Linked DNA regions of Mus musculus: all the other regions are reported to be linked to region 6. Evidence: microRNA targets listed by miRTarBase, many of them from high-throughput screens and not tested one by one. Region 6 holds a microRNA gene; each other region holds the end of a gene's coding sequence.

Region 1 (5,073 bases), not on the chromosome of region 6:
AGTAATCTGCCTGCCTCTGCCTCCCTATAACTCAAGGTATGCGTCACCACCCCCACCTCCAAACCTCTGATGTGGTGTATTGAGGCAGAAGTGTGTGAAACTGGTTCACATGTTATTTGAATGTCACCCTTCATGTATTCAATACTACAACAACCACCAGTTCAAATCACACAAATTATCAAACTTCTAAGACGAGACTCCAGAAGGTAGGTTCAGCCATCTCCAGAATAACTCAAAGCCACCTATAAGGTCTTTCATTTTAACAACGCTCCCTGAATGAGTGTTTTGTTTCTTCTTCTTTTTTTCACAGTGGCTGAGTTTTTCAGTACTCTGAAGTTACATGCCTGGAGAGGTCTAGTGGAAGAAAACAGCCAATGACTACACTTAGACACTTTGTATCTGGACCTTGAACTTACGGGAACATTGACTTCATCGGATGATTATAACTGAAGAATATAACCGTCTGGGATAGATGAACTTTTCACATATCAGAGTAACATATTTGCATATTATTAAACCAAATGCAAATGAATTGCATAACCCTTGGTAAGGTCAGAGGAAGCGTTACACCTGTAAATAGTATATCCTTTTTACTTCTACACATTGTCCTGGCCATAGCAATATTAAATCAGGAAGGAATGCAGAGAGCTTTAAATAACTGGGCAAATAGTAAACCAATCTCAGAGGCTACAAGGCCTTGATGGGAATATTTGAAGAAATTTTAACTTTTAAATGCAGTGGTGGCACCTGCCACAGCAGCCCAGAGACTGCCGCTTGCCCTGAGCGAACTGAGAAATACAATGACGAAGTAGTCTGATGGAGGCATCTAAAGAACCCAGTCTGATGGAGGCATCTAAAGAATCCAGGAGCCAGGAGTGTCTGACACAAGGCCAACCTGGGCTGCCTAGCAAGACCCGATCTCAGAAAATAAATGCCAATTTAAAAAAAGGGCATGCTTGCTTCCATCATTTGGTTCTAACAGAAGATGGTTTTTATATACCTTTAGCATTCTTAAACTCAAGTCCTTGACCATATTTGGCCTTAGACACTTAGGTCTGACAAGTAGTAAGTAATGAGATCACTCTGACCAACTGAGCCAGGTGTGCCGTCTGCAAGAAGATCGTGATAAACCCCAGGGACTGTGCCTACAGCTGGGGAGGACAGGGCTCAGAAGATCTTCTTAAAACAACCAAGCTGGCTTCTTCATCCTGGGAAAATGCTAGCAACCATACAGACATATTGCCTTATCTACTTCCAAACGTACTGTTAATAAAGAGTTACAACACAGTCGCACCATGCCTTGTTTTTCTTCATAGAGCATGGCCCCCATGGGAGGGCTGAGGAGCACACAGGTAACAGCTGGGTTCTACTTACGTGAGGTCTGCTGCTCTGAAGGTTCAGACACTGAGAAGGCATCTTGCCTATAATTAAACTATGGAACTGTACAACATTTTTAAAACTCTAGTTCAGAAGTTCTGGTCACTCTGGCAGAAAGGACAATCCTAATTCCACCTGCTTGGTCTGGTTTAGGACGGTTTTGGGGAAACCCCCTATATCATTGCTGGCTCCAGAGCTTAGGCCTGCTCCCATGGGGATGGGGGGCCATTGTGGGAGCTGAGAAACCCACATAGTAAATCACTAGTCTAGGGCTAGACCTGTCGCTGGTGATCCTTGAAGAATCACAAAATGGGAAGGGAAGAAAGAAGGCAGCATGATGGGAAAGTGCTACCCACTATTTCATGGACAGTTTTGTGGGCAGATCCTCACCTCCTAGGGGTAGAGGATATATAACAGGATTGCATATAGTCCAGACAGATCTGGACCTATGTAACTAACATTGGCCTTGAACTCCTGATCCTCCTGCCTCCACCTCCACAGTTGGGGAATTATAGCACCATTTCAAGTAGTAGATGGGTTTCTCCAACACAGCTAAAGGTGGGCTGGGAAGGTTAAGAAGTTGGGAGAGTGTGTATGGAACTAACTCGGGTCACTGGATTGAGCTTTCTCTGTTCAACACTGAGGGGTTTCAGAATAGGGGGGAATGGGTTGTCTTGGGAGTATGGGTGACCAGAGTAGTGTTGGTGAAGGACTGAAGATGGGATTGGATGGAGGAAGGTGATAGAATGTTTGAAGTCTGAGGTTAGGAGACCTAGCAGGGAGAGGGTGGTTATTCCAATAAGGGCAGCAGTTCTAGACCTGGGTGGGAGTGAGGGCAGGGGTCCTGCTGTAAGAAGCTGAGAGGAGGGTGGTCTTGGGTGAGGTGTGAGCTGGCCCCTCCCAAGTGGCAGAGGCTACTCTTGACATCACTAGCTGGCAGCATGTAGCCAGCCCATCTGTCGCTCTCCCTGATGCCAACTTTGCTTTGTTGCAATGAGGACAGGGTTCAGTTCCCTGCATCTCATGGCAGCTCACAACCTGCTGTGACTCCAGTTCCAGTAGATCCGATGCCCTCTTCTGACCTCCATGGGCACTGCATGCATGTGGTGCACAAGCATATAAGCAGGCAAAACAACAATACACACCAAATAAAAATAAGTAAGCCTAAAACCAAAAACCGGTCGGTGCTCATTTTACAGGGAGGAGATAGACTCCCATCCTTTTTGATCCCATGGGAACTGTTCTGGCCTGCATCTCACCACCACTCCTGTAAACCTCTGCCCTGAATTGCTAGCCCACACCTGCCTTAGCTCTTCTGTGGACCGGACACACTCATCTCTTCAGTTTTTCTTCTCATAGCTTCTCCTCAACAGCATCACAATCACACTCCTGCCCCATCCTGACCCGTCCTTCCCCGGCACCAGGGATTCTAAACTGTCCTAGCTAGATTCACTTCTTTGTTCCCCAAATCGCTTCTCCACCTGGTACCGTCTAGCTAATTAACAGCCTATCAGTCTTCTCATGTGGCTACGGTCCAAGTTATCTGTCATGGGTGCTCCTAGGTACACCTCCAGCCTCCAGGCCCCCACCGCCCACCCCTGCCAGGCTCTGCTGCCTTTCATTCCACTCAGTTCTTCCTCTGACCTGAGTCCACATTCCCCTAGTTTCCTCCTGTCCCTTGCTTTTGTCAACTGTGACTCCAGTCACATGACACCACCTCCAGCCAAGACTTCACCTAAAGTTTACACTCTCCTCCTTAGCATGGCCCACTGCACAAGGCTTCCTTCTCCCTTTTGTAAAAACAAAAAGCACCTATAAATCCTGCTGTTAGACTGGCTAGCACACACACACAGAACTAAAGAACAGTTAAACTGTTGGATAAATTATGAGTTTGATATAGCCATTGAATCCTAACACACAATAGCAAGCAAGCAACAGAATACAGAATTGTTTCCAGCAGGCTCTCAGCTATGCAAAAAAAAAAAAAATCTAAAAACGAGACTACAAAACATACCCAACAGTGTCTCTCCAGTGTCCACTGCCTACTCTACACAAGACTTCCTGCTTTGTATGTAAAATTTGGAGTGAAATTACAAATGAAATAAATTATATGTACTCAAGTAGTATTAAAAGGAGAGAAAGTATTAGACTGAGTTCTGTTGTAACAACCACTTGTGGCTTATTTTCATCATGATTTGAAGACAGATTGACAACCCACAATTCTGAGGTCTTAGAAAACACTGAGTACCAGAGATTATTTCTGTTGAGTCGATTGTTATGTAAAATCTGGCCAGAATCGATGCCTTCATTGTGTAATTCCTGTTAAAGTCTCATAGGCATTGTTTAAGATGGTTTGCATATATGAGGTCTATGTGATTAGTTTGAACATCTGTGAATCCCAAATACATCTCTAGTGTGGGTGGACAAGGAGTTGTAGAATTGTACTGCAGAGGATTAATGTTGCTATACACAACTTAGGGGTGTGAATAAAAAGCTGCTACTTAGGAACCTTAAAAAAAGAAAAAGAAAAAAAAAAAAAAGAATTAGTCCTAGACAGAAGCTGCATCTAAGGCTGGTTAGAATGCTTCAGGTCCAGGGCTTAATCACTGAATTTTGGGCTAATTTTCGGCCCTTGAAAGCCACCTCTGTGTCAGACTAGCATCTGGTAATAGATAAAAACTGTCTTAGAGTCTATCAACCTAGAGTCTAAGAATGTCATCACATAGCATCTGAGACCTACAGGAGACTCCCCATCTTGCATAACTGCCTCTCTGATGTACCCACCAATGTCTTAGGTTGCCTTGATTTGTGACTTCCTTTGCTCTACTATAACCTTTGTGGAACTGCTTCCTTGTGGGAACACAGGAACCTGGAGTAACCTGGCTCCATATATCCTGGCCCTTGGTCATTCAAATTGACTGAAGACAAACGGTTTCTTATTTCCTTGAAAGCTGTGTTACTTTGAGTCAGTAACCTTGGTCTACACTTTCAAATATTAGCCCCAAGAAGCTTTGGTACTTTAATAATAAAACAGGTAAAAACCTACAAAGAGAATAAAAAGGAATGGTAAGGGTAAGGGATTTGCAACCAGCCAACAGCCGGCTTGGCTTCCTTCCCTACTTCCCACATCTCCTGCTTCTATAGACTTGCGATACTCCTCGGCAGTCTCCACAGTCTCACTGCCAGTGTTAAGAGAACAAGTCTCCCAGAGGTCAACTGTCTCGGCAAGGTCGGACAAGTAATGACTGCAACAGTCTAGTTCTAGAACTCACGTCGTATTTGTCTCCTACTGCAACAGCTCATACAAATCCAATGGCTTAAAAACATATCCATGCCAGGCAGTGGTGGCGCACGCCTTTAATCCCAGCACTTGGGAGGCAGAGGCAGGTGGATTTCTAAGTTCGAGGCCAGCCTGGTCTACAAAGTGAGTTCCAGGACAGCCAGGGCTATACAGAGAAACCCTGTCTCGAAAAAAACAAAACAAAAAACATCCATTATCTCACAGTATACAGCTGGGGTCCAACAAAATTTTCATTAGGGCACACCACACACATGAGGAGTCATCTCCGGACAGATCAGCTCACCTGGTAGGGTGTACTCAGGTCCACATGGCTACAAGCCTGAGGCCCTGTCTCCTGACAGTCCAGAGTTTTTCTTCATTTTCACACTTTCTGGCTCATGACCCCTTTCATCTTC
Region 2 (5,073 bases), not on the chromosome of region 6:
CCTCAAGTATGTCAAGCAAGCACTCTGACTGACAAGTGAACGACGGCCCTAGCTCCTTGTCTTATTTCTAACTCACGTTCTCCTGGGGACCTTTGCAAAATGTAATGAAACTAGCTGCAGTAGAAATAAAACAGATCCATGACGCAAGATGCCAGCCAGCGTCTTCGTCAAGTGACTCTAAATGCTTTTGTATCTTTCTCTCATGTCTGTTGATCATTCTGGGTAGGAAAGAACAGCCCAACAACACTGCTAACCACGATCTATGATTAGGGCTGCTCTAGAGAGAGCAGCCTGGCTTTGTTTTGAAGTCTTCAGGAAACTTCCTGCTTAAGTTTCTTCATGCCTCCTACTAAATCAAATGAAAAAAAAAAATCTGCCTGGCATTTAAAGGTGGGCACCCCATGTCCTTACTACCACTCCATTCTTCCAGGTAACCATCTCTCAGTATCGATGGAGTGCCCACTGTGCATCGAGCTGACAGGTGGGAGAATGCAGTGGTGCACCAGACTCGTAAAGCCCATAATGTAATGATCCCCAAACACTGCTGTATCTAAAACAAGGCCACCATTGTCGTCCAGAGCTCCGTCCACACCATAGCTCCATCCCTTGCCACAAGTCAGAATTCTAGGTACTTCTCAAGACTAGTTTTTTAGCACTGTAAAAAAGTATAAGGTTTTTTAAAAAGGTATTTTTAATATATTAATCTGTATGATTTTACTTCATCTCTATTAACTATAAATGAGTTTTCAGTTGAATACATATCATGTATGCCATGCCTCATCTTGAATGAAGGCTCTAACATACAGTCTAAGACCAAAACTAAAGTGAGAAGAAAATGGCGTGAGAAGGGGATGAGGTCACCATAGTGACCATGGACATGCCGCACATTCACAGGCACTTCTTTTAAAGTTTTATTTCTGTGTGAGCACATATCACATGGGTGTTCACCACATTCATGACTGGTGCTCTCAGAGGGCATGAGATACCCTGGACTGGATTTAGAGGGTCGTGAGTGTGTGGTGCTGGGAATCAAACTATTGGTTCCCTTAACCTGAGCCCTCTCCCCAGTATCCATAGGCAGTTCTTGAAGAGCAGAGCCCCAGTGTCTGAGCTTCTTATCAGCCAAAGGGAATGGTCCTGTTACACACTTCAGTGTTCCCAGGCTGAAATTTGCAACTGCTCAGCGGTATTGCTATTTCTGGCTGTGGGCTTACAAATGTACCCACAGGAGGTACCGTTGGGCATTTGAATGGCTGGATGGAGCTTTCTTTATCCCAGTAACAGCAAGTATGCTTTCAGTTCCTCCCCTCCTGTTACAACCTCTTCCAACACAGCAAAACAGGTCCAGGACAACTAACCAGCCAGGGCAACAGATGAGATTCCACTACACAGTCCTCGAAAGGTTTGACTGAGGAGCAAGAACTCAAAACCTCCCTTGAAAACATTTCTGCTTCCATGCCCTCGTGCGAATGCAGAGATAATAATAAAAGAGACCCAAGGCAGAGAAACGTGAGAATGCAAAGGTCTTCTGTTGGGACAGATATTCACAAGTACTTATATGTGGTGCATGTATACGAAAGATATGTGGGTACATGTCAGTATGGATGGAAGCCATTCGGGGGCCAGCTGCCCTGCTCTCTCCTTGCCACCGAATGTCTGAGACAGGGTCTCTCGTTGAACCTGGAGCTTGACCGGCAGTCAGCGATCCTCGGTGGTTTTTCTGTCTCTTCCCCTCAGTGCTGGGGTTTCAGGTGCTTGTGGCCATGTCAGCTTTTTATGTGGTTGCTGGGGATTTGAACTCAGGTCTTCGTGCTTACATAAAGTGATCTTACCCACTAAACTGTTTTCCCAGAAACTACTTTATGTTTTAAAAAATAAAATTTTCTCATACAACATTCTATTAATCTACATAATCATAATTGACACTTTTAAAGTAATATAATTCTTGTTTTTTTAAGAATGTAGTAATACAGTGCATTTTTCTATAGGTATAATTTGCATGAACACAATGTGGAGCTTTAAAAAAATGTGTCATGTTTGTGCGTGCATGCAGAGGGCAAAGCGGGATCTTGGGTAACCCCACCGCTGCTCTCCTGCTTACAGCCTTGAGACAGTGTGTTTTAAAAAGTGTAAAGCTATCCAGAGATCAAAAGGTTTAAGATGTAATGGTCTGATTTTCCCCTAAAGGGGAAGTCTCTATCCCAGAAAGGTGACAGACAGTAGAAGTGTTGTCGTTCAAAGCACTTGGGAAATGATTACCCTCCCCAGGAAATCACCAAATTAGAACCCGATGTATCTAGTCAATAGCAGACCTGTTTCCTAAATGCACCTAAGCTGCCTCTTATAAGGAAAGTGCTTCAATCACTGTCCTTGGGAGAGGGGGGCACACTAGGACTCCTGGATTGTGAGGCCCTCTGTCTATCCTCACTAGGGCACCTCTCGCCACTCATGGGGCAGGCATGGGCAGCCCTCTGCAGGCTTGTCTGAGACACAGAACACTCCTGCTACAAGCGTCAAGGTGACTGAGGATAGGAAGCCCTTGTATCATTGCAAAAAGGTAGACTGAAGACAAGGGGAGGTAGGTCCCAGGACAAAGATCTGACTCAGGAGAGTCTGCTGCCACAGTCCTTCAGCCCAGAAGATGTACATGCCTCAGTCATCAGGCTCCATGGAGCATTTGCACGATTTGACTTTAAATTACATAACTTCTTGGTGCCCCCTCCAAGGAAAACAGTAGGCAAATGCACAACTAATTAGTCAGCTCCCTCTATTGGGTTGTTAACTGAACGTCAATTCTATATTAGGCAATGTCTCCCCAAAATGATGACTTTGGTTTTAGAACTATCAATCTCATTCCCGTTTGCCAGTCATTACATAATTGAGCCAGCAGTGTGTTAAGAGAATGCCAAGTTGACAATTATGAAATTCTGCCACCAAGCACCTCGTGAAAACACAGGCTGCAGAAACACAAGGCTTTCTGCTGAGAACAGTACCAAGTCGTGTAGCCTCCTGAGGCAAAAGTAGGCAGGGTACCAGAAGTGAGAAGTGAGAAGTGAGAGGGATCAAAGGAAAAGGGGAGTCGTAGGGAGGAGGGGAAGGCAGAAGACAGACACAGAAGGAACCAAAGACAAGGAAGCAAGGGAGGGAGAAAGTAAGCCCAGCAAGAGGAAACTGGGTCTTAGCATCACTGCCGCGACTCCTGGCGGGGAACCCGGTGGGCGACGGGCACTCCAGTAACAGCTGTGTTGGCTATTCTTGGTTGTCAACTTGATTTTATCCGGAAATAACTAAAACCCAAGTGCTTGGGTACACCTGTGAGGGATTTTTCTTAACTGAACCACGTGAACTGGGAGTCCCACCTTTAATCGGGATCTTTTGAGGTGGTAAGATCCACCTTTTGTCTGGGCCACACCTTTTGGTGGAGGCCTATACGAAAAACATGCAAGGAAGTGTGTGCTCTCTGCCTGCTTGCCGTTGCTCTCACGGGGATTACAGACGACTTTTTCGGGATTCTGGTAGATACTAAAGTCCAGCCTTTTGGACTGAACAACTATTGGATTCTTGGACTTTCCATTGATAAGACAGGCATGGTTGGATTAGGTGAACCACAGCCTGTAAGTCACTGATGTAAATCATATTCATCTCATCAGTTCTGTTTCTCTGGAGAACCTAATGCCACAGCTGCCACAAGAAGTGTGCCGCTCACCTTGTCTACAAATAGCTATTACTACACGGATATCTACTCAAATAGAATCTAGACAATAGCACTACTTCTACTTCTTCACATCAGAATTCAATTTACAAAAAAATTCTACTGGGCAGTGACAGGTGGATCTCTGGGAGTTCAAGGCTTGACTGGTCTGACAGACCCTGTCTCAAAAAACAAAATCCAAAGCCAACAAACACCACCCATCCAAATAAAACAAACATATACACACACAAAATATAAAAACAGTACACACCAGCAAACTAAGAGAAACCATTTTAATACCTGCAGCCTCACGCAGGAGTCTACTGTGTGTGGTATAGTCTAGTGTGACTCGCTCCCTATTCACTTCCACACACAGTGACTTTCAATGAGATGGTTAAGCTGAGCAGTGTATATTCTTAAACAGTGCCAAGGATCCTGTCTTCAAACAGTTTTATCAACTGAAACATCCTCCAAGAGCCCTGCGAGGCAGCTTGGCAAGGCCATTTGCACTGAAATCGCTTATTCAGAAGGTGTCAGAGCAGCCACGGACCTTGAGCCCACAGGTTGCTTGTGTTCACATCACAGCTTGGAAGTGATAAAGACTGCAGGAGCAGCAGATCTTCCACAAACAGCCTTGCAGGCTGGCTCTGCTCCTGCAAAGTCAATGGAGCCGCAAGGCACTTCCTAATGGTGGCATCTGTTCAGGTTCTCCAGGGAGTTAAGGGAAGCACTGTCTTTGCACACAGTCTCTATCACAAGGGGTCTGGCTAGCAGCATGAGAGTTCCCTCTCCATGCCATGCTGCCACAGTGAGGCATCTATTGTCCCCACTGCGGAGTGCACAGGATAAAGACGTCCACTTTCCTCATCAGACTTGCTGACAGCCTCATTTCCTGCCAAATGGATCAGACCACACTTTCAACCCTATGGAAAGAAACACAAATACCCTATCAGGATTCATTGCTAAATGACTGAACACACCCCCTTGATCCCAAACAAACAAGATGATGTGGAAATTGAGCCATGCAATTTCCATGTGGCTGAGACATTGAAATGGGTGAGTGCAGCCACTGGAACCCTGCAACGAGGCAGCCATGGCAGCTATGAGGTATCCTTTTAAAGGCTTAGGAACTCTTCCCTGCTAGGAAGAAATGGATCTAGCCTAGGACCACCAGACTGCAGGAGTTTGGTTAATAAGCTAGAAAATCTCTCGTACTCAGCCAACTTGTATCATTTTAAAGGAACATCCCACACGTCCCTGAAGGGAGCTTTGAGAACTTCTCTAGGAAACTGAACCTTAGTGCTCACCCTCACACACGGTCTGCCAGTGAGGGAGGTATTTACAGGGGTGCTCAGTATGGGAGTCTGCAAAGCAGATGATCT
Region 3 (5,066 bases), not on the chromosome of region 6:
TAACTGAAGGGGAGAAGTCTGCCACAGTGAGCATACTGTGAGCTAGTCAGTTGGTGATGATAATGGTGATTAAACACTCACCAAAGCTGCAGCTTGTTAAACTTGTCAAGATGTAGTTAATTCATCTGACCTATTAAACACAAAAGCAAAGTAGTCCCCCTGGTAGAGCTCTCATGACTAGATATGGGACTTGCGGTGGGACTACTGCCCACATCACTGAGAGTACTGCATCATCAGCTTGGCCTAAGCAAAGAGCAAAATTCAGAATCAGTTTCTGATGAACTTATCTGGCTTGCAACCTACCATCTTTAGTTGCCTTCCCTAAGCTTCACTATAGGGTGGCTGGCCTGTGCACAGGCACATGGGCCAGAGGGCAGCCACACAGAATCCAGTGTGGCAAACCTGGTTGATAGCTCTGGGCTCTCTCCTTTAGATCTGTCTCTGGCTGCCTTTGCACGGCTGAAATAATGGCCCTGGTCTCTCTCTGCTTTAGGCAGCTGGTGTCTGGGGCAGACACACTGAACCTTGTTGCTGAAATCCTCAAGTCTATCGACAGAATTAGTGAAGTTAAAGATGAGGTGGACTCTTGAGACGCTCTACCTGCCACCGGGTCCCGTCACCTCTGCACCGAAGGCACCACACATCTTCCGAATGTGTTCCTGTCTATGCAGTCCTCATCAAAGCATTTCACGGCCTAATCATGTGACTGGCCATCTGCAGTACGGGGCTCCTTTCCACCAGTTGAACCTAACAGTTTACATGAAGTCCCACTGTTCGATAGACTCACTGATTTACTGGAAGACACTTTTATAAAACCACTAAAGCTGAAACGACAGTTTTGTAACAAGCTTCTTTCACCACCCTCTCTAGGACGAGGTCGGGCTCAGCCTCAGTGTTGTCAAGTGGAACACGAAGTGAGCCAGTGTGTAAGTGAGCAGCCTGTACAGAGACGCGTGCCTCACTGAGGCAGCACCGCTTGGTACGTGCTGCCGTCCTCCCACCAGGACCATAGGACCAAGGTCACACACTGTGCACAGTGCAAAGCTTCATACACCCTCTACTGTGTGCTGTCAGCTTTGGAAAGCCATTTGGGGCTGTCGATTTTGATGCACGTTAATGTGTTTGTGTGCCTTTTGTATAGTGCAATTCAGACTGGAATTAAAGCACACACCCACCTGGGGGGTCAGCACCAGCTCTTTGGGCTGGCTGGCTGGTTTTTGAAGGACAGGCAAGACATAAGCAGCTCCCTGTGCTGTGCTGAGGGGTCAAGGTTTGGGGGCCACTTTCCTATAGGTTGTTTTTTTGTTTTTTTTTTTTAATTTATTTTCCCTTTTCCCCTCCTGTTGAGATCAACAGCTTTCTGATCTAAATAAATCTTAAAGATCATTTAGACTGTCTTGTCATTTACTCAGGGATTCATGCTTGAGAGCTACCCTGCTCTTTTAACTTCAAGGTCTGCATCTGAAGATATTCCTGCAGGGTAGTGGTGGCGCACGCCTTTAATCCCAGCACTCGGGAGGCAGAGGCAGGCGGATTTCTGAGTTCGAGGCCAGTCTGGTCTACAGAGTGAGTTTCAGGACAGCCAGGGCTACACAGAGAAACTCGAAAAATCAACAAACAAAGGATATTCCTGCCATTGCTGGGTTATCGGACCCTCAAGTTCTTGACCCTTGGAGTCAGGCATTCACAAGAGCCACTACATCAACATATCACAACATATCACATACATATCACAACATATCACATACATATCCCAACATATCACAGAGCCACTACATCAACATGCCGGATGAGCCACATCCTAGCTTCACACTAAGGCTGGGTGGATGGACGCCTAGCAACTAAACCACTGGGCCCTTTAACTCACAGCTTTTTAGAAGCTGTCCCCACCCCCAGAGCAGATCGCAGTGCAAGGTGGCGGGACACAAAGGAAGACCAGGCTAGTGTTCCCTCTGCTCACAAGGCTTGAGTCAGAGCTGCCATCAAGAGGAACCGTCAGCCTTTCTCCACCACTGCAAGTGAACCGGATGAGAGCTGCACAACTACACTACTCTCAATTTACGTATGAAGTGTTCCTAAAGTTGTACAAGCACCATAGAGCATGGTGGTACATGCCTTTATTCAGAGTACCAGGAACAAAGACGATCCCAGTTCTCAATCAGTCTGTTCTACATAGACTGTCTCAAGAAACAACAGTACCCCAGGGAAATTTGCCTGATAGTTCTTACCAGGCTTGCCCCACACAAGTTCCTACACCAGGAACCTACAGGTTTCCTTTAATGCCCCAGACTCCCTCTGGCCAAACCCAACTCTGGGCCAGACTTGATATGACTCTTATTTTCTTTTTTGAGACAGTGTCTATATAGTTCTGAAACTTGCTTTGTTGTATATCAGGCTGGATTTGAACTCACAGAGTTACACCTACCTCTGCTTCCTGAATGTTGGATTAAAGGGATGCACTATTACTCTTTGATTTCATGATTCTGTACCCACTCCAGTAGTGTTGCAGGTGACTTCTAGCTTGTAGTCAGTTCTCCATAAGACCAAGGCCCTTCCCAGGTCCCACAAACTGGCCAGTCGCCAGGCTTGGTTTTCACCAGCCTTGAGCCTCAAGCCACTGCCATGCTTCTCCTACTCACAGGCATTATTAGGCACTAGGAGGACCCAGCTGCCTAGGGAGAGTAGAATTAAGGAAGCTGTTAAGAATTAATAATGGAGAGAAAGTACCCAAGGAGCTAAAGGGATCTGCAACCCTATAGGTGGAACAACATTATGAACTAACCAGTACCCCGGAGCTCTTGACTCTAGCTGCATATGTATCAAAAGATGGCCTAGTCGGCCATCACTGGAAAGAGAGGCCCATTGGACTTGCAAACTTTATATGCCCCAGTACAGGGGAACGCCAGGGCCAAAAAGGGGGAGTGGGTGGGTAGGGGAGTGGGGGGGAGTGTATTGGGGACTTTTTGGATAGTATTGGAAATGTAAATGAGGAAAATACCTAATTAAAAAAAAAAAGAATTAATAATGGGCCGGGCATGGTGGCTCACGCCTTTAATCCCAGCACTGGAGAGGCAGAGGCAGGCAGATCTCTGAGTTCAAGGCCAGCCTGGTCTACAAAGTGAGTTCCAGGACAGCCTGGGCTATACAGAGAAACCCTGTCTCGAAAAAACAAACAAACAAAAAATTAATAATGGATAATTATTGGTATTTTGTTTCATAAGAGTGAGACCGACCCCCCCCTCCCCGCCCTCCCGCCCCCCCCCCCCCACTACTTAGCCAGCAGCTCTGTGATGTGTTGGCCAGGCAGAATAATCCTTAGTGAATGAATGTCCATTTCTGGCGGTCCCAGGTTGTGGGCTCCGAGGACGACACACACGGGAAAGTACTTAACGACACACTGATCATTCATCCAAACCCAGAACACCAGGAGCTAAGTACACAGCCCAGGGAACCTGGAGAAAGATGAACGCCTCGCTAGGGCCCCGCCCCCCAGCACACCTCCTAGCATGCCCTGCGCCGCAGCCTGGGTGGGACTTCCGGTGCAAGCCTACTGACTTCCGCGACTGCTAGAAGCATGATCTGCGTGTGGTCGCCCGGGCGATGATGCCAGCTGTGAAGTTTGGAAGGGATGCCTAGAAGGTGAGGATTGGCGGGCGGCAGGTAGCAGGCGTTGTGTCCAGGAGGGGCAGGGCAGCCAGCACGGGGAAACCGAGGCGTGGCGTGGCCGCGACATTGCTGGAGTGGAGAGCCCGCGTCCGGAGCCCAGCCGAGGTCCCCTAGCTGGTGAGATGCAGGACCGGATTTGCTCCGTGCTGTGCTCCGAACCGCTGCTCTAACCGGTTGCATGCGCTGCAGCACCACCGGCCACCCCTGGCTTATCGAATCCAGCCACTAAGGGTGCATTGGACCCCAACTGCCTTGCCCGGTTAGGCCTTAGAAGGGACAGGCAGCAAAGTGTCTCTGATGTCATTAAAGGCGGACCGTGGCTCCCAGCTCAGGACTTGAAAACGTGACTTTTTCTTCCTTTATGTGGGCGATGCTGTGGGAGGAGATGGAATTGCTGCTGCCTCAAAACACGTTACTCTTTCGTTGGTGGCCAAGCATCCAGTGGCAATGATTATTGCTACATCTGTAGATCCCGCTGTTTCTAGCCAAGTTGGTTGACAAACGTTCCCTGTATAAGTAATTGGAATGTCGTTGAAGGGGATTTTGTTTTGTTTTGTTGTAGTCAGTTAAGACTGCTGTCAACAACTTAGTAGGAAGAAATCAAACAGGATGTTTTTCTTCATTTCTGGCTCTGGGTGTGAAAATGTGTTTGATAATTTTGTTTGAAACAGTATCTCACTAATGGTTTGAAATGCAGAGATCCACTTAGTTATGCCCCCCAAGTGCTGGGATTTAAATTATGTGCCATCACACTCAGCTCTTTGTTTCTTTATTTTGGTTTTTGGTTTTTTGGGTTTTTTTTTTTTTTTTTTTTTTTGGGCGGGGGGGGGGGGGGTGGATTTTCCGAGACAGGGTTTCTCTGTATAGCCCTGGTTGTCCTGGAACTCACTTTGCAGACCAGGCGGGCCTCGAACTCAGAAATCCGCCTGCCTCTGCCTCCCAAGTGCTGGGATTAAAGGCCTTTGCCACCACGCCCGGCTCTTTATTTTGTTTTTGAAGACAGTTTCTTTTAGAGCTCTGGCTGACCTGGAACTCACTCTGTAGACCAAGCTGGCCTCAAACTCAGAGATCCCCCTGCCTCTGCCTCCTGATTCCTGGGATTAAAGACGTGTGTCACTATACCCGACTTCTACACCCAGCTTTTTACAGTTATTATACTTGTTTATTTCCTTGTGTGTAGGTAGATGTGCCATAGTGGGGGAGGTCTGAGGGAAAGCTGGAGTAGGGTCTCTTCACCATTGATTACTGGTCCTGAATTCAGGTCCTTAGGCCTGGTAGCAAGTGCCTTTGTATGGTGTGCCATCTCACCCACCTGAGCTTGTGTTTTCTAGAATCATCTTTCACACTTCTCTTCCAAATTTCCTTTGCCCTCAGACTTTGCTTACAGTGTACCAGAGAAA
Region 4 (5,073 bases), not on the chromosome of region 6:
ATAACCTGTTTTCTACCCAGAAGGCTGGGAATGAAGGTGATTGATTGCTCAATAGCCTGGTGATCTGTATTATCTATCATGTGCAGGTCTGGAGGTGCTTAGTAGTAAATGGCCTCTGCATTATTTGTATTGCCAGGGGTGCTCTTAAGTTTTCACAACCAGGACCAGAGGTAGCTAACAGCAGAAATGACATCTACACTATCTGTACGACTGAGACCATATCAGATCCTTTGCTAGGCCTTTAAGATAATACATGTAGCCTATCTCTAGAACCCATCTTCTTGGAAGATGTGGCATGGATTTGAGTTGAGTTTCCTTGTGCTCATGAGACTGTATTACACCAGAAATTGTTTTTTTTTTTTCCAAATTATTCTGTGCTTGAATATGCTGGCAATCAACTGCTCAGGGTCACACTCTAGAGGTTGGGGCCAGCACCATCTAAGTCATACTGAACCGGATTCCTTCTTGCTTCTAGCAGATGGGTACTCTGCCAGTCCTGGTGGTCACAGAGACTCCCACAGAATTTCAACTGATAACTGGAGGGCTCAAAGGTGAGAATGACATGCAGGTGACATTATCATAGAAAAGGAATGTATGTATTTACCTGTGATAGGTGGCAGGTCCAGTACACGATGCGGCTCCTGGGAGTTATGGATCATCTTACAATGAGATACTTATAGCCTGCTGAGGCATTCTATAGGTAGTCATCGAAAGTATGGTAGATCAGGAGCCAAATAAAAATATTGCTTGGCTTAGTCCTAGCTTAAATACAACTCTTAATCCCGAGCTGGTTCCAGCATACCCAGGCATTATTTGGGAGGCAGTCTTAAGAAGACTTGGAAGTAAGTATTGGTGCATTCAAGAACTGGACATGGAACACTGAAAAAAGTCCCAATTGCCATTTTGATGCCCTTTAAACAGACAGGACTACTCGTTAGAGGAAAGTCCAAGTTCACTGGAACAAGGCAGAAGAGCAGAAAGTGAAAGATTTCAGCATGATGATAGAAGATCTTTCTGTCCTTAGAGAATCAGAATAAGTGAGGCTCCAGCTTAAGCAGGAGGGAGACCTTTCTTGAAGCATTCTGTTTGTGTTCTTTGAGCAAAATGAACCAAAGGCCAACAAATGCAATACATATTATTTATATGTACATTGAGGCCAGGAAACAGAACAGTAAAAAACAGGGCTTAAGGGCCATTTGCCCATTTCTTCCTGATGTGTTCAATGTCTTCAAGAAGGGAAGAGGGGCATTTTGAGGGGAGAGCATTCTGCTTTCAGACATTTATGTATATCTAGTATCAACACGGCGCTGGCTTAGACCCTCAAAGCGTCTCAAGATCATACCCCAGCCAGGCCCCTCAGGTCCTGTGCTGGTTTTGAGATGGCCATGGATTGTTGATTAAGGATGAGTGAACATGCAAATCAGATGGAGGTCCTGGAAGGGCTCTTACCTTCCTTTACCTGAGCAAGGTTTAGTGTGAACTTTGATCCAATTGATATAGCAGGTAGGGGTTAGGATAAGAAAAAACAAATCAAAGCTATCACAGATGCTTTAGAGCCATTTACATTTTCAAACACATATATATCAGACATGGGGATCCATATCAGCACAGGCCAGATCAATGACAATGACGAAAGCAGTTGGCCTAGAGTCATTTGCACAACATGGGAATTTCGGAGATGAACTGAAAGAGAGAAACTAGTAGTATTTAATGACAGATATTGGGAGCTCCCCCAGCGACAGTGAGTCTGCTCCCCCACAAGAGAAGTGAGTCTTCTCTTCCACTCGCCACTTGAAGCATTTGTGCCGTGCTCCCGGATTTCTGAGCAGCCTAGTTCTGTGCTGGAATAGTGACAACTTACATGGAAGGCGTTAGTGAGTTTCCGATCTGTCACTCGGGAGGCAGTTACAGATAATATAACCCCACTTTTCAGCGATTATTCTGCTTAGCACCAGGGAAGGACTCAAGACCCTTTGATGAGAGTCAACATTACGCCAATGGGGCTTTTTTTTCTTTTTTCCCCCCTCCCTTAGTTACAGCCAGTAGTGACATCACATATCTACTCTGTAAGACTGCATGCATACCATTAATGCTCTCTGTTTTCCCTTGTTTTCTAACCCCAGGGAAGGCAAGGGTAGACAAATGCTGGATCGATTATAATTCTGGTCGCATGTTATTTAAATTTCCTATTATAGGAACCAAGTAGTCACCAATGATACCACATTGTAAAGCAGAGACTGGTACAAGGTACAACAGACGCTAGGATTTAATGCAGCATCTCTGCCACACTTAATTAGTGGTGAGGATTACTTTCTATTCCATGAAGAAAACTGCTAAACAGTTTCTTCAGTCCAAATGGAGTCGGTGGCCTGGCCCCCAAACTACTCACCAGTAGGTGGTGCTATAACAAAAGCAATCAAAAGAAAGCAGCCACACTAGTCTGGCCCTGGCCAGAGATTGGCCTGATGGGTAAGGGCAGGAAGCCTGGAGGCTGCCTGTATCTGCTAGTAGGTGGCTGATCTGACAGGAACTGGTGTCCTGGCCCCAGCAAGGTCATCAGCCTCAGGGCAACCCTTTCTCCTGTGCAGACATCATGGCTTTAGGGGTCTTCAAGTATTAATAAAATACTTAAAGCTCAAAATCCACTTCAGATTTATAAGCACCTTCACATACACTATTAGAGTGTATCTTGGTAAACAGAAGTGAATAAATTCACCTTAGGAAATAACTGCGGAGGCTCCTACATAAGAGCATGGAGACTTCCCAGTATGTCTGTGCCTCTTTAGTCCCTTCACATGGATGCAACATAAAAGTTTCTCCTCTACAGTACTATGTACTGCCAAGTCCCCCAAAAGAACTTCTCTCTCCACAGTTCCACGCGTGTGATGTGCACAATGTCTCAATGACAGAACGGACAGAGATGTAAATGCCAGAGGACTGTGGATGCACAAACACAGCATCTAACCTGCTGCTCTCTCCCACGTCTGCTGGTTCTGCTGTGTAGCCGCCTCAGATGCTGTCATGGAGTCTACAAGTACTGACTCTGTTCACCAGCCTCCACAGGTTCTGACCCCTCTGAAAGAGTCACACTGTGTGCTCTAGGCCTCCTCCACAAAGATGAACTCTACCCAGAGTTGGGATTTAAGCACTGATGACTTGGAAGCTGGACAGGAAATAAGGCACTGGGGAGCACTAGGAAGTTGTGTGGTTTCTATGTGACCTATGCCCCACATGGTATGATGCACAGTAAGGGAGGGAAGGGCTAGAGAGTCAGGCAGGATCATCCCCTGGGATGACTCGACTTCCAGTTGAAGGCACAAGGCCTCTTCCACACTTGGGAAACACAGTTTCTTCAGCTACTGGGTCCAGTGCTGTGCTGGAGTGAGCTACCTCTTCTTCTGTGGGCTCGGCCATTAGTCTGGGCTGGCCAAGTACTACTGAGGGCACACCTGAAGGGAGACAACAGGGATGCCACCTGCCTTCCACATACAGCTCTTAATTGACAGTTACAATGGAAGGTGCATGGACCTGTTCACGTGATCTCCTGGAAGAGCTGAAACCCATCTTGGTTCTGTAGGAGGTCTGCAGGTTCTCTGCAGGGCTCTCCTCTATGCAGTCCCCATCCAGTCCTCTCTTCCAGTGAGGACTACCTTGCATAATCATAAAAAGAAAAGGGTAACAACAGCTGTGTGTGCGGTTGACCAGAAGGTCGATTCTACTACCTCATTCACTGCAGCTGAACTTGACTATTAAGGAAACAAACCCCAAACCATAATGTTGGTTAATCTCACCCCCATCTATTCCTTCTAATCCTAAACTGGTTTGGCTGTGAGACACACCTGGATGCTGAGACAAAAGCAGATAGATTCAGTACTTGTAAATTTCATATTTATTATAACAAAAATTACGACATGTCCATTTGGGCATTCTGCTTCCATATAACTCTGGATGTGTAGATGGTATAAGGGACTCTATACAGTCATGCTGATTGTGGCAGCAGGAAGGAACACAATTAAAAAATGTCTGTAAAAGGTTCTGGGTTCCCGAGAACAGGGCCACATTATCTGCACAGAAACACGCTGCACATGGCCCACACTGAAGATGAGCTACGTAGGGGTGGGGCAGGGAGGCTCTTCAGAGCGAGTAAGGGGTCAGTTATTTAGGCTGTGTCCTTATGCAAGACTACAAACACTTTAAGCTTCACTATGTAACACTGAGATATTTACAATAGAAATTTCTCAATCAACTGTTCTCTCAGAGAAAATTAGTGACTCCCAGTGACTTAAGTCACCTGACAGAGTAAAGCAACTCCTAGGAGTTAGTCGCCATATTCTACAAATGTCTACCATTTTCAAGACAAAAAAAAGCTTTCCCCACAAAGAAATACACAATTACAATATTATTAAATCATTTAGCAATGGCAACTTGCCCTGCCTTCCAAACAAACAAAACAACAAAAGCCATTTTTAAAAATATTACATTATCATTAACTGTTTCTCTGTAATATATTAAACCTTTTGTTCTTTGTCTTTACACAGTTGATATGTTAGGGAAAGAAGTTAACAAATTTAAATCATATTGGTAAAGTATCACTAGAAGAAAAGTGGTTAATTGTTAAAAGTAACCAATACAAAGAGAACCTACAGATGAGCTGCAGAGACAGGTGGGGCAGTGTCTGGGAGAGGGCATGAAGTTAACACCCCTGGTTTAATGTGAGCCTGGGAGACTCTCAGTCTCTCTGGTTAGTTTATTGTTTAAAACAGTACTCAGGCTGGGTCATAGCGGTGTATCGTAACAGTCTGGCAGGTGATCCATTTGGAAGTGCCGCTGTGGCTGTGGCTGTGGCTGTGGCTGTGGCTGTGGCTGTGGCTGTGGCGGCTGGGGTGGTGGTGGCAGCTGCTGCTGCTGCTGCTGCTGCTGCTGCTCCTGGTGATGTTTCATGATTTCTTTGACTTCCTCTTCCAGCTCTGGGGGGATGATAAACTGATCATCTGGATCTGGCTGAGCAGGGGCTGCAAAATAGCCTCCTGGCTTCCGGAGAGGCGCATCTGCAGCAACCTCTATCACATTATG
Region 5 (5,073 bases), not on the chromosome of region 6:
TGAGCTCAGACCTAGCCTGGGACCCTTAGCCACACAGCCAGGTGCCTGGTGGTGGGCCTGCTCCGTGCCAGGACATAGCATCTTAGGTTTGTTTTCTGTTTTGCTTTGTTTTTTCTTGAGACAGAGTCTCACTATGAGCACAGGCTAGTCTAAGTCTCGTACTGTTGCTGCTCTGCCTCCTGAGTGCCGGGACTAAAGGTGTGCGCCACTCCCGACTAGTCTGGCTGTGTGCGTTTCTGTTAGCTCCTTGTATTTGGGCATGTGTATGAAGCAAGGACCGGGGAAAGGAGACTGAGCTCGCCCACGTGGTAACCTCTTGTTTGTTCTATCTGTCCAATCGCAGTACTCAAAGGGAAGAAGCTCAGCCTGCCAGCCTAAGTGCCAAAGACCAGCAGCAGCCTCTGCCCTTCGGGGTGCTCGGACAGGGTCTCACCATGGCGAAGGCGAAGGCGAAGGCTCGGGATGCTCAGTGGGCAGAAGCAGAGGCTTCTGCGGCAGCCACTCACTGGTGGCTCTTCGAGGATGCAGAGGAAGAGACCAGGAGGCTTCTGTCTACTGCATCCTGCCTTATCTTTTTTATTACTATGTACAAAGATTTTTTTACACAAAGAAACTTAATGCTGTGTTAATAAATTCAGTATGTAGATGAATTGGGACAGTTTCCAAAAGTGACGATTTTGTGCACAATAAGTACAAGCCTTTTTTATTTTTTGAGAATTTGTTGAGGTGGTCAATTCTTTGTGTCTACAATGAAATTATACTCCTTGACACTTGGTAGATTATCCAAACATCTGTCAAATTTCCATGCTATTTATTTTCTTTCTTTTCTTTCTTTCTTTTTTTTTTTTTTTTTTTTTTTTGCCAAAAAGATAAGTTGTGTTTGTTTGAAATCTGAGACATTGTGTTCCATTGGTGTTTCTGTCCAAAAGAGTCCTCGTTGTCCTGGAAACCCTTCCTCAGATGTCACACTACATGTCAGGTTCGGGAGGATGACTAGAAAGTCCTAAGGTTTCATTACCAAAACTTGAAGGTTCCCAGCAGAAACTCAGCTGATGCTCACCAAACGCTCACCCTTCCCCCGCTGAGGTGTGGCAGCTTGAGGTTATCCGAGGGTGCTGAGAGCTGCCACACCCAGAGGGTCTGAGCCACCTGCCCTCTGACTATGGAGAGGGCTGGGGGTGATGGCTGTTTTGGATAGAGGACTCAGCTCCTCTGAGGAATGGAACACAAATAGCCACCTGTCACTGTCAGTCCGAAGGATCACTACAACCATGTTAGACTCAAATGTTTTTCTCATAGCACTTTTGGTGATAAAATGATTGACAATCTTTTTAATTGGCAACACCAGTTATCATTCCTTACATTCTTTTTAGTATTTTTTTTAAACTGGGCTCTTGCATGACCTATATTGTGTTAACATCCTAAATAAACATTTTATTAAACAGAATGTATGGTCTTTTCTATGAATCAGGCTTCAACTATTCAGTGTTAGATGCAGCAAAAGCTCTATAGGGCTGCATACATTTAAGACTGACCTAAGGAGACGGAGAGATGGCTTGATGGCTAGGCACTTGTTGTCCTTTGAGTTCAATTCCCAGCACCCATGTGGTGGCTTACAGTCACCTATAACTCCAGTTCCAGGGGCTCTAGCACCCTTTTCTGGGCTCTGAGGACATACACATGCATGTATCACCCTTACATACACAAAAGTAATATGGATAACGCCCTGTTGATGGGAACACTAGGGTTTTTCATCATATTGTGACTTTATACGATGCACCGTTAATATTAGAAGTGTTGAATACTTGTAGTGTGCTGACTGCAGAAATGGAGTGGTTTTGCTTCCTGCAATTAAAGTGGCTTGTGGAGGAGGGGCGCTAGGAGGGTTGTCTTTATTTACCATGGGGTCTCTACAGCAAAGTTGGCAGTACAACTGTAGGCTTGCCTCTTCCTGCCCCTGCTTGACCTTGCTCCTGTGCCTTGTGACTTTGTCTTACACATGAGTGTGCTTCCCCCAGCGTCTTAGTCTTTACTTTCTTGGACCTGCTTGCCTCAAATAATTTTGTGTGGGGGCTGAGTGAGAGGCGGGGGGGGGGTGCACTGGCTGGGGTTAGGGATACTTTGCAGAACCGAAGCCTCAGGTTTCCAGCATTTCCAGCACCTTCTCTTCTCACAATACCCAAGTACGATAAAATTGGCTGTGATGTTGCCTACCACCTAGCATGACATCCTGAAGAGACTGGCCTCATGAGGCATGGCCGTGTGTGGCATACTTTTGAAGCATGGTGTCACAGTCAAGTTTGCTGCCTGAATATAGGTTGTCAAGTAACGTTTTCTCATTGAGGTTTATGGAGGTCTTGTTGAGATGGGCTCTCGATATGTAGACCAGTCTGACTTTGAACTCAGAGACATGCCTGCCTCTGCGCTTGAAGTCCTTTAGGATGAACGACATGCCACTATGCCCAGCGGATATGAAAGTTTGGGGGTTTCTTCTGTTTTTTATGTAAAATGATGCATTTTGGACTCAGGCTCGTGTGGAGTCTTGCATCTCAAAACATGGGATTACTATGAATTTCAGTTCTGTAGAGAAACTCCCAAGTGCAACGTTTAAGAAGTTTAATGGGATGGAGAGATGGCTCAGCAGTTAAGAACACTGACTGCTCTTCCAGAGGTCCTGAGTTCAAACCTCAGCAACCACATGGTGGCTCACAACCATCTGTAATGGGATCTGATGCCCTCTTCTGGTGTTTCTGAAGACAGCAACACTATACTCATATATTAAAATAAATAAACCGTAAGCCTTGTACACTGGGAAAGAGCAGGGCCGGAGGGAGAAGAAAAAAAAAAAAGTTTAACTAAGCCCTTGGGCCAGCAAGATGGGGCTTAATGGATTAAGGTGCTTGCAGCCAAGCCTGATTCCCCGAGTTCAATCTCTGGAGACTACAACACAGGGAAGCGTTTTCCTCTGGTTTCTACACATGTGCCATGGTGTGTGCATGCCCCTCCACCGCACAAAAATATTTAAAAGACCCCCTCTTGGTGAAGTGATCTGCACGACTTCCTTCACCCTTCACTCTCCAGGGAGAGCTAGCTGCCCTGAAAGCCTCCTGGAGATTGGTACCCAGAGGACACTGGCTAGTTGTGCTAGATGTTTCAGAATCCTTGTTAGAAACATCTATAGGGTGTGTGAGGTTGCTCAGTGGGTAGAGTTCCTTGCTGCTTAAGCCTGGTGGCTGGCGTTCAATACCTGGGTAGAAGGAGAAAACCAACCCCACAGATTGCCCTCTGACTCCATGTACACGTTGTGATGTATGCTCACATGTAAACACACCCCGACAGTAAGAATGAAAATAAGATACTTAAAGTCATGTGTCTAGGTATGTGGGTCTCTGCAGAGGCCAGACGCATCAAAGCCTTTTGGAGCTGGAGTTCCAGGGGGTTGTGAGTGGGTGTTGGGAATTGAACTCAGGTCCTCTTCAAGATCGGTAGCACTCTCAATTGCTAAGCCATATCTCCACCCACAAATAAAGTTTTGAAAAGGAATAGATGTGTAGAAACTGACTTTTCGGGACCTCAGGTTTGATGACTAATGGGTAAATACGGAACCCCACGTGGGGTTGGGGTTGGTTTTTCCGCCCCCTAGTGGTCAGTTGTGAGATTCCCATGTAGCCTGAGCTGTCAATCATCCTTCACTGACCCTATAAAGGTTAGTGTGGGATTTGGTTTCTCCTGTATCCCCTCCCCCCTTTTTCTTTTGTTTTGAAACAGGATCTTTGTGTCTGTGCAGATGGCCTGGAACTCCACATGTAGACCTAGAATTCACAGAAATCTGGCTGTCTCTGCCTCCAGAGTCCTGGGATCAAAGTCCTGGTTTATATAATTCCTATTTCTTATCCCTGCTATTTAAAAGCCTGGTGAATCCGGGTATGTGGTACAGGACTGTCATCCTAGTCACTCCAGAGGCTGAAGCAGGAGGATCATAAATTCAAAGTAGCCTTGGAAACCTACTGAGATCTATCTCTAAAATGTGGGGCTAGGGAGAGGAGAACAAGAACCTGATTTTGTTTTTGTTGGCTTGGTTTTTTTTGTTTTTGTTTTTGTTTTTTGTTTTTTTTTAAGACAGGGTTTCTCTGTGTGGCCCTGACTGTCCCAGAACTCACTCTGTAGACCAGGATGGCCTCAAATTCAGAGAGCCAACTGCCTCTGCTTCCCGAGTGCTAGGATTAAAGACGTGTGCCACCACACTGGTTAAGAGCCTGAATTTGACTCCTTAGCTCCCAGCTAAAAGTTGGATGTAACTCTAGCATTGAGGGGATTCATATAGAAGTGTGCTAGCAAGCCAGACCAGCTGAAAAAAAAAAATGAGCTCTAAGTGAGAGAGACTACTAGGTGGGGTTCTTTAGAGTCACAGAACTTATGAAATGTCTCTATATATTAAGTGAATTTATTGAAATGGCTTAAAGTCTGCATCCCACCTAATCTAACAGTGGGCAGCGGTGAATGGGAAGTCCAAGAACCTAGTAGTTGCTCAGTCCCACGAGGGTAGGTGTTCCAGCTGCTCTTCTGTATAAGCTGCCATCCTGAAGAAGCAGGTTCCAACAGATGTGCTGGCAAGTAAGTGCAAGCAGGCAGAGAAGAGGAAGGCCTTCCTTCTTCCAATGTTCTTATGTAGGCCTCCAGCAGAAGGTATGGCCCAGATTAAAGGTGTGTGCCACCACGCCTGCATCTGGAACTTGCTTTTTCCCAGGATGGCCTTGAACTGAAGAGATCTGCTTGCCTCTGTCTCCTAGGATTAAAAGTTTGTACTACCTTGCCTGGGCCTAAGCTTTTCATGGCCACTGTGGCTCAAGATCTGGATCAAAAGTGTGCCCTCCATTTCTGGGTTGTAGTTCATTCCAGATGTAGTCAAGTTGACAACCAGGAAGAGCCAACATAGAGACCGTGTCTCAAAAAATAAGGTAGGAGAGAGTGCTGGAGAGATGAGATGGCTCAGTGGTTAAGAACACTGGATTCTCTTCAGCTTCAATTCCCAGCACCCACATGGCAGCTCACAACCACCACTATCTGTAATTC
Region 6 (5,073 bases):
AATTAAATCTCAATTTAAGTTCAAAACATTCTGAACACAATTACTACCACAAGCTCAGCATCCAAAGGTCCTAATTAAGACCTTATTAATTTTAAACTTCTAATTTAGTATATTGAAGAAAGTACCTGGCAGGCTTCCTATGTTGGAAGATAAACGTAGCATTCAATCCGTAACACTGGTGACAGACCCCTCCCTTTATAGGAGGCACATGGATCATGTGGATCGTGCTGACATTAGAGCTTTATCACGTTTTAAAGGAAGTTTTCATTAGTCATCTGAAACAAGTTTTAATCCAAAAATGTTAAGAATGGAGTCAGAAGTGACTATGTTTCTGTTTTAGTAATAATTGTACAATTCTGGTCACTCACAATCAAACCCAGGCCTGTGGAATCCTTACCTGGCAGCTCAGGGATCCATCAGTCAGCTTCTTGCATTTCTTTTAAAAAAAGCAACATATTATGGAAAACTTTAGCTCTGTAGATAGTGTCAGCTTAAACCTGATTTTAGCAGCTCTTCCTTATTAATTTTACTTTTCTTTAGGTTTCACTCCAATGATTTTTATTCATAGCCTGAAACCAACTGTGCTGCCCAAATGTAGAACTATATATTATATATACTGTTATCCTAAATACTAACTGCAGCTTCTCCAGACCCAGCACTCGAGTGTCATGTGTACCTGTCACTCTACTGACCATCAGTTTGCCATCTTTCCCTTGAGGGGGTCACATGGTAAGAACAGTCCAAGGATAGTTCTTTCTTACAGGGTGTGCACATTAACAGAGTGGCCACCACCTGTTAACTGTTAAGAACTCACGGATTAGGAATAATCTTATCAGAAAACACTCCATCTGAATTGTCACACTTTAATAAACAGAGATCCAAAGAAAGTAACATTTTTCTTAACTCATGTTAATGGGTTTTAGAGTAAAATAAACCTGAAGTCATACCAGGTTCAAAAGGCAGTTTAACTTCACCTAAGCCCCCACACACAACTTCTTACTAAATCCAGCGAGCAAACACGAAAATGAAATGATTCAGTAAAAACAAACCACAATTTAAAAACACAAATTTCAATTAAAAAAATCCCGTTTTACACACCAACGAAAGCAATAGAAATCACAGTTTACAGAATGTGTTCATACACTCCATCAGCTCGTGAACATTTTTACAGTGGAAATCGGCATCTTCAGCAATATTGTCATTTTCACATCTTCTGGTCACAATCCCCACCAAACTCAACAGGCCGGGACAAGTGCAATACCATACAGAGAAACACAGCATTGCGACAAATCCCAACCTGTGTAGAAAGGGGTTTGATTTTCCCTTACTTCTCTACAGACTTTTCACCACCACAGTCAGTTTTGCATGGATTTGCACAGCAGAATATTATACAGCTGGATGCAAACCTGCAAAACTAACCATAGACCAGTGCTCAATAACAGGACAGTTGGCTGGGCGATGGCCAGGCGAGGCTGGAGTTCTACAGCTGGCAGTACTTTAAGTGCTCGTAATGCAGTAGATGGCTACACACTACCTGCACTATAAGCACTTTAGTGCTACAGAAGCTGTCACATCACACACACCACGCAGGCTCTACATCGACACAATAAAAATACAAAATTAGTTTAAAAAAAAACAACACTTGAAGTAAATAGCAGGCCACCATCAGTTTTGCATAGATTTGCACAACTACATTCTTCTTGTAGTGCAACTATGCAAAACTAACAGAGGGCTGCAAACACAACTATGGAGAGACCCCTACATGCTTGCTTGACTTGGATTGGATGAGGACATAACTTCTTATGCCAGAAGGAGCACTTAGGGCAGTAGATGCTAGTCTACTTCACTATCTGCACTAGATGCACCTTAGAACAAAAAGCACGCAGCACCAGCAGGCCCTCCCCGCGACCGACTGACCGACGACTGGACGCAGCCAGTGCCGCCCGAGGCAGCGCCCACTGTGGCTCCCACCGAGGCAGCTGTCAGCATAATGCTACAAGTGCCCTCACTGCAGTAGATGCACACATCACTACCTGCACTGTAAGCACTTTGACATTATTCTGACTGGTCACAGCTTCAGTCCCAAGGTGAGGTTCACTTTATTCCTGCTAAATTTGAAATAAATAATTAGACAAAAAGGAAAAAGCCAAAGCTCTAAATTCTGTCACAAACATCAATTACAGCTTATACCCAAGGGGGGGAGGGGAGGAGCCAATAGCCAGAAGTTCCAAATTGGACACATGTAAGCCTTAAAAAAAAAAAAAAAACTCCTTAAAGAAATATAAGATACAATCCCATTAAAATGTTGGCTTTTACAGTAGGCTTCCCCAAAAAACACACAATAAGGGTCCTACAAAATGAGACCTGTTATCAGGAAGGCAGTCTGACTTGGTACTACCTTTAGAGGAAAGCCTCACATTGACCAGGCAGCAATCCCTTTCTTCTGTCCTCCACATTGTCAGATACTCGACAAGATTAATGATTATTGTTTAGTCATTTTCAAGTTTATTAGTCATAAAACATAAAAAAGTCTTAGTATCACCCCAAATTAGAAATACTCTATGACTCCAACTTGAAGGGTCTACAACTATTTGGTTAGTGTCCAAAAGCCACTGTAGATTTACTACGTTAAAATGTGGCTCACTCATTTATGACAAGAGTTCAAACTGTATTTATTTCATACCTTAAAAGACCAAGAATGTTGTACAAGCTCAAAGACAAAAGTGAAAACCAAAGGTCTCAAAAGAAGTTTTAGCTACAAAACTAGAATATACTCACCCACTCAGGCAAACTTCCTTCTCAGCAAGTATCCTTGGGCAATGCTTCGGGTGCTGCTAGGTCCACGTGTATGACTAGGGTTGGGGGTGGGGTGAAGACAGAGAAAGGGTAAGCACATTTGCTCAAAATTACTACCACTTTCCGAGCCCCATTCCAAGTTGCTCTTCTCTTAATCTTCCTAAGGGGCAATTCTATCCATTTGCCAAAAAAAAAAAAAAAAAAAAAAAAAAAGAGAGAGCCAGGACCACAAGGTCCTGAGGGCAACAATGTATTGGGTGGAAAACGCTGTAACAAAATAAAGTTGAAAACCCACCAAGATTCACATCCGTGCACGAATTAATGTGCCCCTGAAATACTGCAAGATGAGTAGCAGCAAGCCTGAACTCTACTGTCCAGCTCAAGCTAGAGAAAAAGGGCAACCAGGACTAGTCTTCACCACCCCTCCCCCAATCAGGACCTCGTGGCTGCACGCCGGGATAAAGAGTTGTTTCCCCAACTGCTGTGATCCTCGTGGCACGTTGCTCATTTTCTTCCCTCTGGTCACCTAAGAACCACGAGCCCTGCTGCGCTCTCCAGTTTTCTCCCCTCCGCGCCAGCTTATCAAGAGAAAACCGGACGGGAACACGGGATCCTGCCAAGTACCCGCCACGCTCATGGAGCCCGGGCCGGCAGCACATGTCGCACAAGGGGGCAGGCGGCCCTTGTGGGTTCCCCGCGCGGCCGCCAGGGGGCGGCAGGTCAGAGCCGGGCCGCGCTGCGCCGGACGCGGAGACTCCCCCCCCCCCCCAACCCCCGCCCGTTTCTGGGCGGCTGCGCGGCGAGCGGCGGCGCGGAGGCCCGAGCGTGGCGAGGCTCCGGACACGCCGGCCGTCCTTTGTGTCCCGCGCGCCCCCCGGCCAGGCTCCGGGGGAGGGAGGGGGGCGGACAGGGCGCTCGCCGCACGCGGCCCGAGGCCTAAGCCGGGAACAATCGGCGGCGGCGCGCAGTCGCCGCCATGTCCCCCCCCCCCCCGCCCTCGGCGCGCGCAGCCCGCCCCGCAGGAACATGGCGGCGGGGCCGCCGCTCCTGCCGAACCCGCCCGGCCCTCCCGCGCCGCGCTCGCAGCCAGCGCCCGTCCGGGGCTCCGCGCCGCCCCGAGGGCGGGCCGGGGCGTCCCGGGCCGCCCGGGCGGACCGCAGGGGTCGCCTCGCCCGCGAGGGGAGCTGCCCACGCGGCCGCACACAAAGCCCACGCGGAGCGCGGGGTGGCGCCCCGGCCCCGTCGCCCCGCAGCTCCCGCGTCCCGGAGCCCGGCCCGGCGCGCACAAAGTTTCGGGGACGCCGAGTGCCGCCCGCCCACGCCGCCCGCGCGCAGGTTCCTCGTGGGCGCGCCCCCTCCCGGCCCGCGGCCTGCCCCATGTGCCGCCGCCGCTTTGTTCTGGAGGCGCTTTAACTCTCGCCCCCGGGAGAAACTTTCCCCGCACGGCGGCCGCGCGCCCCGCCCGGCTCCCGCCGCTCCCGGGACGGCCGCCGGCCTCGTGCGAAGCCTCCCGAGGGCCATTGTGTGCGCCGGGCGGGCCTCTCCGGGGCCCGGGCCGCCGCCCCCTCGGGCCCCCTCCGGCCCGCGTGCGCGCCAGGACGGCCGCCCCACGCCGGCGCCCAACGGCCCGAGACCCACCCGGCCCGCGGCCCCCGCCCTCCCGCCCGTCCCGCCGCCGCCGCCGCTCCGCTTAGCGCACAACAGGTTTCCCTGAGCCGGCGGCGGGGCGGGCGCACTCACCGCAGCAGCCGCCACCATCTTCGCCAGCCTCCGCGCCACTCCGGCCCGAGGCCCCAGGCCGGGGGTGCGGCGTGGCCCGCCCGGCCCGGTCCGAGCTCGGGGCTCCGTGGAGAGGCACGGGCGGCGTGGGGGACCGTCCCCACCCCTCGGCCTCGCCGCAGGGCGCGAAGTGGCGCGAAGGCGCGGGCCGGGGCGGCGGCGGCGGCACCTCGAAGGACCATGTGGGTGAATGAAGGGCGGCGGCTCCCGCCTCAACGTAAATACGGACAAGCCCCACTCCCTCATTAGCATAAAAAACAAAGTACTTCCGACCTCCCCGCCCGCCCGCCAATCACCGCAGGCCCCGCCCACGGCGGCTCGTTCTTGGCGGCCAGGCGAGCGGGAGCCGGGGGAGCCGCTGGTGGCGCCGCGCCGCCTTCCCCGGGCCGCGCGTCCCCCGGGGTCCGCCCACTGCCGCCCGCTGCCCTCGGCGCAGGGCTCCGGGCCGGGACACCTCGCGCCACGCCCCCGGCACGCCCTCCCGAGCCAGCCCCGCGC

Evidence for each region. Region 6 holds the annotated microRNA mmu-miR-17-5p (CAAAGUGCUUACAGUGCAGGUAG, at 2,030-2,052, opposite strand). A microRNA usually pairs through its seed, bases 2 to 8, with sites in the 3' UTR of a target mRNA and lowers its output. Matches are read on the target gene's strand: a 7mer-m8 pairs with bases 2 to 8, a 7mer-A1 pairs with bases 2 to 7 and ends in A, and an 8mer does both.
Region 1: the mRNA of Capn2 is a reported target of mmu-miR-17-5p. The part of its 3' UTR that is shown has no 7-base or 8-base seed match.
Region 2: the mRNA of Smim20 is a reported target of mmu-miR-17-5p. The part of its 3' UTR that is shown has no 7-base or 8-base seed match.
Region 3: miRTarBase lists Entr1 as a target of mmu-miR-17-5p. The part of its 3' UTR that is shown has no 7-base or 8-base seed match.
Region 4: miRTarBase lists Phlpp1 as a target of mmu-miR-17-5p. The part of its 3' UTR that is shown has no 7-base or 8-base seed match.
Region 5: miRTarBase lists Kdelr2 as a target of mmu-miR-17-5p. Seed matches in the 3' UTR shown: 7mer-m8 at 1,299-1,305.

What each region holds. Positions count from the first base shown.
Region 1 is chr1:182,463,473-182,468,545 of GRCm38, reverse strand. Capn2 (calpain 2) reads left to right here. Exons shown (of 21, transcript NM_009794.4): 21 at 311-1,293. The coding sequence ends at 334. Among named protein-coding and RNA genes, the nearest start is that of Capn2, 52 kb to the left of the region's middle.
Region 2 is chr5:53,277,438-53,282,510 of GRCm38, reverse strand. It overlaps Smim20 (small integral membrane protein 20), which reads right to left. Exons shown (of 3, transcript NM_001145433.1): 3 at 3,971-4,614. The coding sequence ends at 4,577. Among named protein-coding and RNA genes, the nearest start is that of Gm40303, 13 kb to the right of the region's middle.
Region 3 is chr2:26,379,122-26,384,187 of GRCm38, reverse strand. Entr1 (endosome associated trafficking regulator 1) reads left to right here. Exons shown (of 10, transcript NM_026563.3): 10 at 494-1,388. The coding sequence ends at 590. Snapc4 (small nuclear RNA activating complex, polypeptide 4) reads left to right here and starts at 3,535. Exons shown (of 23, transcript NM_172339.4): 1 at 3,535-3,639.
Region 4 is chr1:106,393,044-106,398,116 of GRCm38, reverse strand. It overlaps Phlpp1 (PH domain and leucine rich repeat protein phosphatase 1), which reads right to left. Exons shown (of 17, transcript NM_133821.3): 17 at 3,872-5,073. The coding sequence ends at 4,777. Among named protein-coding and RNA genes, the nearest start is that of Gm41928, 130 kb to the left of the region's middle.
Region 5 is chr5:143,420,458-143,425,530 of GRCm38, forward strand. Kdelr2 (KDEL (Lys-Asp-Glu-Leu) endoplasmic reticulum protein retention receptor 2) reads left to right here. Exons shown (of 5, transcript NM_025841.4): 5 at 344-1,447. The coding sequence ends at 378. Among named protein-coding and RNA genes, the nearest start is that of Kdelr2, 19 kb to the left of the region's middle.
Region 6 is chr14:115,040,663-115,045,735 of GRCm38, reverse strand. It overlaps Mir17 (microRNA 17), which reads right to left and starts at 2,065; the gene lies at 1,982-2,065. Mir18 (microRNA 18) reads right to left here and starts at 1,885; the gene lies at 1,790-1,885. It overlaps Mir19a (microRNA 19a), which reads right to left and starts at 1,736; the gene lies at 1,655-1,736. Mir20a (microRNA 20a) reads right to left here and starts at 1,579; the gene lies at 1,473-1,579. It also overlaps Mir19b-1, Mir17hg and Mir92-1.